Linked DNA regions of Pelodiscus sinensis. The protein of the gene in region 1 binds, or shares a complex with, the protein of each later gene. Links are inferred from orthologs where the notes say so. Each region holds a gene or a part of one and is shown in the gene's direction. Other genes may lie near its edges.

Region 1 (4,833 bases):
GTCAAGGCTTGGGGCCATGCAGCGGGGGGAGCCCAGCCTTGGGCGGCGGCTCCAGCCCATGTCCCCCCCAAGGCAGGGGCAGCGCCGGGGCTCGAAGCTGGGGGTCACCGCCAGCCCCAGCTGCCAGGGTGGGGGGGCCATCCACGGGTCATCGCCTGGGGAGAGAAGGGAGAGTTACACACTCAGCAACCCGCCGATGGGCCGCAGTCTGCCCCACGCCGCTCCCAAGTTGCCCAGCAGCCAGACCCACCGAACTGCAGGGCTCCCCGTATGCACTGGGGTGGGTCACCGCAACCCTAGGGGTTCCCAGAATGCACTGGGGCGGGTCATGCCAAGTCTAGGGGTTCCCAGAATGCTCTGGGGTGGGTCATGCCAAGCCTAGGGGTTACCAGAATTCATTGGGGTGGGTCATGCCAAGCCTAGGGGTTCCCAGAATGCACTGGGGTGGGTCATGCCAAGCCTAGGGGTTCCCAGAATGCATTGGGGCGGGTCATGCCAACTCAGGGAGCTCCCAGAATGCTCTGGGGTGGGTTAAGGCAATGCCAAGGAGCTCCCAGAATGCACTGGGGTGGGTCATGTCAAGCCTAGGGGTTCCCAGAATGCACTGGGGTGGGTCATGCCAAGCCTTGGGGTTCCCAGAATGCACTGGGGCGGGTCATGCCAACTCAGGGAGCTCCCAGAATGCTCTGGGGTGGGCTAAGGCAATGCCAAGGAGCTCCCAGAATGCACTGGGGTGGGTCATGCCAAGCCTAGGGGTTCCCAGAATGCACTGGGGTGGGTCATGCCAAGCCTAGGGGTTCCCAGAATGCACTGGGGCGGGTCATGCCAACTCAGGGAGCTCCCAGAATGCTCTGGGGTGGGCTAAGGCAATGCCAAGGAGCTCCCAGAATGCACTGGGGTGGGTCATGCCAAGCCTAGGGGTTCCCAGAATGCACTGGGGTGGGTCATGCCAAGCCTAGGGGTTCCCAGAATGCATTGGGCCGGGTCATGCCAAGCCTAGGGGTTCCCAGAATGCACTGGGGCGGGTCATGCCAAGCCTACGGGTTCCCAGAATGCACTGGGGCGGGTCATGCCAAGCCTAGGGGTTCCCAGAATGCATTGGGCCGGGTCATGCCAACTCCGGGTGCTCCCAGAATGCACTGGGGCGGGTCATGCCAAGCCTTGGGGTTCCCAGAATGCACTGGGGCGGGTCATGCCAAGCCTTGGGGTTCCCAGAATGCACTGGGGTGGGTCATGCCAAGCCTAGGGGTTCCCAGAATGCTCTGGGGCGGGTCATGCCAAGTCCAGGGGTTCCCAGAATGCCTCGCACCCAGCTGCCACACCCTATAGAGAGGGGCGGGGCCTGATTAAGGGGTGTGGCCGAAAGAAAGGGCGGGGCAGAAGGCGGAGCTCGATCCCGCGCATGCGCAGAGCGAAGGAGCGACGCCAAGCGGCGCGGGCCATGTCATTCGTTTCGCGCCCGGAGAGGAGTTAGGGCGGGGATCGGCGCACGCGCGGTACGGACCTTGGGGGAGTTTTTTTCGCGCCGATCGGGTTGCTTTTTCTTCTTCCCCTCCCCCCACCTCAACGTTCTCAGGATTCTCCGCCGCGGCCTTCCTTGTAGGGTGCGCGCGCAGCCGCTCCTGTCATGTGACGGGGCGAGCCAATGGAGTACTGCGCCGCGCGGCCACCCGGGAAGTGTAGTCCTGGGCTTTTGCGAGAACGGGGCCAGCCGGCGCGTGGAGACTCCACTTCCCGTCGGGCCCCGCGCGCGCTCGCCGCCGGAGCCAAGCCAGGCGGGGTCGCGCAGCCTGCGGGGAGCTGCAGTCCTCGGCGCGGTGGGATGACGTAAGGGGAGCGCGACACGGAGGCGCATTGCATGGGGAGACCTCATGGCACCGGGGCAGGTAAGTGGGGCCGGGGAGAGGGAGGAGCTCCCAGCATGCACCGGGCTGGGTCAACCCCACCGCATTCTGGGAGCTCCCCGGCGTGGCGGGACCCGGCCCGGTGCATTCTGGGAGCTCCCGGCGTGGCGGGACCCGGCCCGGTGCATTCTGGGAGCTCCCCGAGTTGGCGGGACCCGGCCCGGTGCATTCTGGGAGCTCCCCGGCTTGTCGGGACCCGGCCCGGTGCATTCTGGGAGCTCCCCGGCTTGTCGGGACCCGGCCCGGTGCATTTTGGGGGCTCCCCGGCGTGGCGGGACCCGGCCCGGTGCATTCTGGGGGCTCCCCGGCGTGGCGGGACCCGGCCCGGTGCATTTTGGGGGCTCCCCGGCGTGGCGGGACCCGGCCCGGTGCATTCTGGGGGCTCCCCGGCGTGGCGGGACCCGGCCCGGTGCATTCTGGGAGCTCCCCGGCGTGGCGGGACCCGGCCCGGTGCATTCTGGGAGCTCCCCGGCGTGGCGGGACCCGGCCCGGTGCATTCTGGGAGCTCCCCGGCGTGGCGGGACCCGGCCCGGTGCATTCTGGGAGCTCCCCGGCGTGGCGGGACCCGGCCCGGTGCATTCTGGGAGCTCCCCGGCGTGGCGGGACCCGGCCCGGTGCATTCTGGGAGCTCCCCGGCGTGGCGGGACCCGGCCCGGTGCATTCTGGGAGCTCCCCGGCGTGGCGGGACCCGGCCCGGTGCATTCTGGGAGCTCCCCGGCGTGGCGGGACCCGGCCCGGTGCATTCTGGGAGCTCCCGGCCTGGCGGGACCCGGCCCGGTGCATTCTGGGGGCTCCCCGGCGTGGCGGGACCCGGCCCGGTGCATTCTGGGAGCTCCCGGCTTGGCGGGACCCGGCCCGGTGCATTCTGGGAGCTCCCCGGCGTGGCGGGACCCGGCCCGGTGCATTCTGGGAGCTCCCCGAGTTGGCGGGACCCGGCCCGGTGCATTCTGGGAGCTCCCGGCGTGGCGGGACCCGGCCCGGTGCATTCTGGGGGCTCCCCGAGTTGGCGGGACCCGGCCCGGTGCATTCTGGGGGCTCCCCGGCGTGGCGGGACCCGGCCCGGTGCATTCTGGGGGCTCCCCGGCGTGGCGGGACCCGGCCCGGTGCATTCTGGGGGCTCCCCGGCGTGGCGGGACCCGGCCCGGTGCATTCTGGGAGCTCCCGGCGTGGCGGGACCCGGCCCGGTGCATTCTGGGAGCTCCCGGCGTGGCGGGACCCGGCCCGGTGCATTCTGGGGGCTCCCCGGCGTGGCGGGACCCGGCCCGGTGCATTCTGGGGGCTCCCCGGCGTGGCGGGACCCGGCCCGGTGCATTCTGGGGGCTCCCCGGCGTGGCGGGACCCGGCCCGGTGCATTCTGGGGGCTCCCCGGCGTGGCGGGACCCGGCCCGGTGCATTCTGGGAGCTCCCGGCGTGGCGGGACCCGGCCCGGTGCATTCTGGGGGCTCCCCGAGTTGGCGGGACCCGGCCCGGTGCATTCTGGGGGCTCCCCGGCGTGGCGGGACCCGGCCCGGTGCATTCTGGGGGCTCCCCGGCGTGGCGGGACCCGGCCCGGTGCATTCTGGGGGCTCCCCGCCTTGGCGGGACCCGGCCCGGTGCATTCTGGGGGCTCCCCGGCTTGGCGGGACCCGGCCCGGTGCATTCTGGGAGCTCCCGGCGTGGCGGGACCCGGCCCGGTGCATTCTGGGGGCTCCCCGGCGTGGCGGGACCCGGCCCGGTGCATTCTGGGGGCTCCCCGGCGTGGCGGGACCCGGCCCGGTGCATTCTGGGGGCTCCCCGGCGTGGCGGGACCCGGCCCGGTGCATTCTGGGGGCTCCCCGGCGTGGCGGGACCCGGCCCGGTGCATTCTGGGGGCTCCCCGGCGTGGCGGGACCCGGCCCGGTGCATTCTGGGGGCTCCCCGGCGTGGCGGGACCCGGCCCGGTGCATTCTGGGGGCTCCCCGGCGTGGCGGGACCCGGCCCGGTGCATTCTGGGGGCTCCCCGGCGTGGCGGGACCCGGCCCGGTGCATTCTGGGAGCTCCCGGCGTGGCGGGACCCGGCCCGGTGCATTCTGGGAGCTCCCGGCGTGGCGGGACCCGGCCCGGTGCATTCTGGGGGCTCCCCGGCGTGGCGGGACCCGGCCCGGTGCATTCTGGGGGCTCCCCGGCGTGGCGGGACCCGGCCCGGTGCATTCTGGGGGCTCCCCGGCGTGGCGGGACCCGGCCCGGTGCATTCTGGGGGCTCCCCGGCGTGGCGGGACCCGGCCCGGTGCATTCTGGGAGCTCCCGGCGTGGCGGGACCCGGCCCGGTGCATTCTGGGGGCTCCCCGAGTTGGCGGGACCCGGCCCGGTGCATTCTGGGGGCTCCCCGGCGTGGCGGGACCCGGCCCGGTGCATTCTGGGGGCTCCCCGGCGTGGCGGGACCCGGCCCGGTGCATTCTGGGGGCTCCCCGCCTTGGCGGGACCCGGCCCGGTGCATTCTGGGGGCTCCCCGGCTTGGCGGGACCCGGCCCGGTGCATTCTGGGAGCTCCCGGCGTGGCGGGACCCGGCCCGGTGCATTCTGGGGGCTCCCCGGCGTGGCGGGACCCGGCCCGGTGCATTCTGGGGGCTCCCCGGCGTGGCGGGACCCGGCCCGGTGCATTCTGGGGGCTCCCCGGCGTGGCGGGACCCGGCCCGGTGCATTCTGGGGGCTCCCCGGCGTGGCGGGACCCGGCCCGGTGCATTCTGGGGGCTCCCCGGCGTGGCGGGACCCGGCCCGGTGCATTCTGGGGGCTCCCCGGCGTGGCGGGACCCGGCCCGGTGCATTCTGGGGGCTCCCCGGCGTGGCGGGACCCGGCCCGGTGCATTCTGGGGGCTCCCCGGCGTGGCGGGACCCGGCCCGGTGCATTCTGGGAGCTCCCGGCTTGGCGGGACCCGGCCCGGTGCATTCTGGGAGCTCCCCGGCGTGGCGGG
Region 2 (4,833 bases), on another chromosome or scaffold:
AAATTTAAGAGATAGAAATTACTTATCTATGGTTATTTCTTCTACTATCATCCATCACTATAATATCTCAAAACCTAAATTTATGCTTCAGGATGTAAAGCAAACACAAATTACTTAGGATTAGGGAGAAACCAATTGTCCATTATTGGCATTCTTGTACCTTCCAATAAAATATCTAATACTAGCCACTATAAAAACAAGATACTGAACTAAATAAGCACTGGTCTGATTTGGTATGGCATTTCCTATGTACCTATTAAAGACCATTCTCAGGAGCAAAATTAATCCCTGAGCAAGTTCACCTTTAAACCAGGAAACTGCAAAACATTCCAGTGCTCTCACACTTTTTACTGTATCCTAGATCAATTTTCAAAACAAAAAACTGACCCTAGTGAGAAAAACAAATATTTTAAGCGTACAAAGAAGCACATAAGTTATGTAACATGTGACGATCAAAACAAAAACAGAAGACTATGGTAAAAATATATATGAATGAGAGCATCCAAGTAAAGTCCTCTAAAATGCTTGAAACGTGAATGCTTATTAAAGTATACCACAGTAACACCAGCTACAGCTAACTACACCGTTACTACAGAGTCACAGCTTGTGGTTCCACATGCTAACGCTAACCATATGGCATAAATAAAACCCTAATCTCTCCACCCCCTTGTTCTCTCCCCTATGGTTCCTAGCTTGGGTCCGCATGGATCTCCTCAACAAAGAGCGATGAGGCAGATACCAGACCAGCTAAAACAACAGATGGATTCTCCCTTGGTGTAAACATCTTTAGCGTGGGCATAACTTTTATTCCCACTGCAAACTGATACTTTGTAGGTCAGTAAAAGGGTAAACAAGGTGCTGAGGACAACTCCAGTTGGTGAGCAGCTACCTCACTGGGTTTAGTAGGACCAGTTGGGACTCTGGCAGCATCCTGCCAGATGCAGATGTCTGGTCCTTCTTAGCATAGACGGGAGAATGAATTTTTTTTTGTTTTTTTGCTCAGACTATTTTATATTTTAAAATTAACAGTGACACTGCAGAGTACCGCTTGTTGAGAGATAAGCACAGGTCCAATGTGGTTACTGTCAATGTTTTACCTCAATGAGCTAGGAAAGGGTCAGTCATACCCAACCGGAGTTAGAAATTGCAGTGGTAGCACAAATATAAGGGCGACAGTGATAAGGGACATGGTAGCAACGAGACAAGTGCGTAACACAGCAGCGAAAGCAATGAAGGAAACAACGGCCACAGCAACCAGGAGAAGGGAGATGGTGGGGAGGGATGTTAATTCTAGAGAGCCGATGGTGGTGAAGTTGTCGTGGGGAATAACGGAAAGGATCACATCAAGCGAAACGATGGCGAAGGCAACTGCGATGAGAGAAGGGGTGGTAATGGAAGCCAAAGGCATCATGGAGAACGACGGCAACCGCGGCGGCTCAACGATGGCAAACGCAACCCAACGGAGGAAAATCACGGCCACCCCGGGGCACGATGCCAACGAGGGCGGCAGAGGGGGACGGTGCGAGGCCAATGCCATGGGGGCACCCCAGGAGAGCGTCAACGAGGCCGGCACCCACCCCACGCTGCCCGTGACGGAGACGGGGGGCAGGACGCCAGCCACGGGCACGCGGGCGGTTGCGCGGGGGCCACGCGTGGCGCACGACGGTGAGGGGGCAGGGGGCCCCCACGCACCCAGCACCCGGGGGGGGGCGCCCAGGAGGGGGGGGCCGGGCGAGGCCGGCGCGCGGGGTGGGGCCGGCCGCCCCTCACCTGGTGAGGCCGGTGCCGCGCGGGGTGCGCCCGCCCTCTCCCCCGCCGGCCGGTGGCGCGGCAGCGCGGGGCCCCGGGTCCGCAGGGAGCAGCTCAGGCCCCAGCCTCCGCCTCCATGGCTGCCGCGGCCCCGGCTGCATTGTGGGAAGCTGACCTCACTCGCCGCCGCCCCGCCAGCCGCCTGGGCCGCCATGGGCGCCGTGACCGACGGTGAGCGCGTCCCCGGGCCCGCCCGGGCCTCCCCTGCCCCCTTATAGCGCCCGGGACACGCGGGCCTCCCCCTATAGCGCCCGGGCCGGGCCGGGCCTCCCCTCCCCTTATAGCGCCCGGGACACGCGGGCCGGGCCGGGCCTCCCCTGCCCCCTTATAGCGCCCGGGACAACCGAACCGGGCCTCCCCTCATCCCCTATAGCGCCCGGGCCGGGCCTCTGCCCCCTCCCCGTTACCGGTCGGGCATCCCTCCTTATAGCGCCCCGGGCCAGGCTTTTCCCCGGTACCGCCCGGGCCCCGGGACACGCGGGCCTCCCCCTTATAGCGCCCGGGACAACCGAACCGGGCCTCCCCTCCCCCCTTATAGCGCCCGGGCCGGGCCTCCCCCCCCCCCCCCCGGCCAACCGAACCGGGCATCCCCTCCCCCCTCGGTACCGGCCGGGCCTCCCTCCTCATAGCGCCCGGGCCCCTCGGGCCAACTAGGCCTCCCCTCACCCCACTCCTCGGGCCGAGCCTCCCCTCCCCTCTTATAGCACCCGGGGCGGGCCTCTCCCCGTTACCGGCCGGGCCTCCCTCCTCATAGCGCCCGGGCCTCGCTTCCCTTCCCACCCCCTTATACCGCCCGGAGCTCCTCCGGCCCAGGCCTCCCCCCTTATACCGCCCGGGCCAGGCCTTGCTCTCGCCTCCCCCCTTTTACCGCTCGGGGCTCCCCCGGGGTGATAGCGGGCCGGGCCTCTCCCCCTCCCCCCGGCCAGAGCCTGCCTCTCAGGCCCCAGCTCGTGACCCAGCCCCACAGCGTTGGCCTCGGAGCGCCCCTCGCTCCAGAGACCACAGCGCTTTGGGGGGCCCCTACAGGTCCCTGGGGTGCCCCCCCATTCCCGGGTTTGCCCCCGTGTATTCCAGAGAGACCCCCCGCTGCTGGGGTTCCCAATGGGCCCCCGTCGGCTCCCAGCTCCTGCCTCCCGCACCCCAGCTGTGAACTCCAGGCTTCTCCCTTTTCCCCATGTCCCCTTCCCCTTCCAGAATCTCTGCCTACCAGCTGTCTTCCCTTCTTTCCCACTCCAGAGCTACCGCCCCCATCCACAGAAACAATCACACAACCCTAAGCACCAGGCAGGCCCCATTGCAGAATGCCCCCACTCAGACCTTCTCAATTTGGGAAATTAAGGGGGGGGGGGTACTTGTTGGCAGCGAAGTAATGGGGAAGGGAGGTTGGATACACCGAATACCCTACAGTCAACCATAGAAAATGTTCTCTTCAGTGCCAGGCTGTAATGGGAGGGATATTGTTCAAAACCAGGATCAATCATAACTTGAGGCTGTAACTTACCACGTTTTTAAAATATGATCTTCCTCTACTCTAGATGAAGTTATTCGTAAACGACTTCTAATTGATGGAGATGGTGCTGGTGATGACAGACGAATTAATTTGTTAGTGAAGAGCTTCATTAAATGGTGCAACTCTGGATCTCAAGAAGAAGGGTATTCCATTCTCTGTTTTTCTTCTTTAAAGCAATGTGGTCTAGATACCAGTAGTTCAGAGCCAAAAGCTTGTTTTGATTATAAAAACATTCATTTCATCTTAAAACAATTCATTTCATCTTAAAACATATTTTATTACATTTAAATAGGACCTTGCATTGTTTACAGTCCAAACTCTGCAGCAATTATGTAACCCAGATAATTAGTACTGTAGAGTCATTTTTTGCCAATTCCCTTGATATTAGTATTTTATTTAAAGCTCTAGGTCTTGGGGTTAAGTAATTGGATGGGAATGTCAGCTTTTTTTTTTCTTTACTTATCTACTCCCATTGATGTAGACTGAAAAGTTTGTACTCTAAGCACTCAAAAGCCAGAAGGCAAATAAAAAACCCTTTTAAAAAATCTCAATTTAAAGTGAATTATTTTTTAAGGCCTGATTCATTTTTTTAAAATATTTTGGGTTGGTAATAGTGAATCTACGCTGTTGCTTAAGCACTGTTGAGAGTTCAGTAGTGTTATAATCTTTCTGCTATAGCAACTGATTTTACAGGAACTCACAGCTGTAGTATAGTACAGAGTTTTTCAACTTTTTTTTTATAAAGTACCCACTTTAAAAAAAAAAAAATTATAAGTACCTCCAATACCTACATTTTTCAGACAGACAACATTTTTTTCTACCAGTGCAACACATTTGTTTAAACAACTTAATTGTAGCCGGGCGGGCCATGAAAATTTTTGGGTGTAAAAAGTACAAAAATAACAAAGTGCTGTAAGACTGACAACAAAAATTCAGTTTTCTCTCAATTTCAGTTGTGTTGACTTATCCCCCAGAGTTCTCTCGTGTACCCCTAAGGGTACTGATATCCCTGGTTTAGGAACTCTGGTATAGGATGACTGACAGATATGTCCTGGAGAAGATAGTATGTTGCTTTTGTTCCTCTGTATAAAAAAGTGTCAACGAAAAAGCCCATTAATTAAACTCCATTCAAAATGAAAGGGAGGACTTTATTAGAGACAACACTCTAAAACTAGATGCTTAGAGGAAGTTTTCTTTTGGGTGACTATAAGAGCATTCTGCAGAGCGTTCAGAGCAAGACGTTGTAAAATAGAACTGACAAAGTAGTCTAGGGCTGTTAAATTGCGGTTACCGAGCTAACAGAATAGTCGATAGGACTGCTATGCAGAGCTGCAGTGGGGGTAGCTCCGGGAGCCACCCATGCTGCAGCTCTGCGTTTTAAATGTAGTGAAAATCGTCGGGCTCTTACTACATTTTAAAGGTAGTGGCACCGTGTCTGCATGAGCCGGGACTGCTCGGTCCTGGCTTGTGCTGAGTCCAGCAGCCCCGTTTGTGGCAGCCAGGGTTAGCTGCGG

Evidence for each region. Proteins that work in one complex are often made in the same cells at the same time.
Region 2: the proteins of THOC6 (region 1) and THOC7 are in contact, whole or in part, in a cryo-EM structure (PDB 7APK), measured with the Homo sapiens proteins. The link is inferred for Pelodiscus sinensis from reciprocal best matches to the Homo sapiens genes THOC6 and THOC7. Residues at the interface, in NP_001334633.1 of Homo sapiens: Asp229, Trp232, His245, Thr252, Gln268, Asp269, Gln284, Leu285, Ser286; in NP_079351.2 of Homo sapiens: Lys110, Arg113, Lys114, Gln117, Glu118, Ala121, Leu122, Val125.

Annotation. Positions count from the first base shown.
Region 1 is NC_134714.1:134,744,280-134,749,112, reverse strand, and holds the start of THOC6 (THO complex subunit 6), read left to right. Parts: upstream 1-1,745; 5' UTR 1,746-1,871; coding exon 1,872-1,886; intron 1,887-4,833. Other genes in the region: HCFC1R1 (host cell factor C1 regulator 1), read right to left, coding at 1-141. UniProt on the Homo sapiens protein: Component of the THO subcomplex of the TREX complex which is thought to couple mRNA transcription, processing and nuclear export, and which specifically associates with spliced mRNA and not with unspliced pre-mRNA.
Region 2 is NC_134721.1:4,391,534-4,396,366, reverse strand, and holds the start of THOC7 (THO complex subunit 7), read left to right. Parts: upstream 1-1,804; 5' UTR 1,805-1,961; coding exon 1,962-1,980; intron 1,981-3,344; coding exon 3,345-3,462; intron 3,463-4,833. UniProt on the Homo sapiens protein: Component of the THO subcomplex of the TREX complex which is thought to couple mRNA transcription, processing and nuclear export, and which specifically associates with spliced mRNA and not with unspliced pre-mRNA.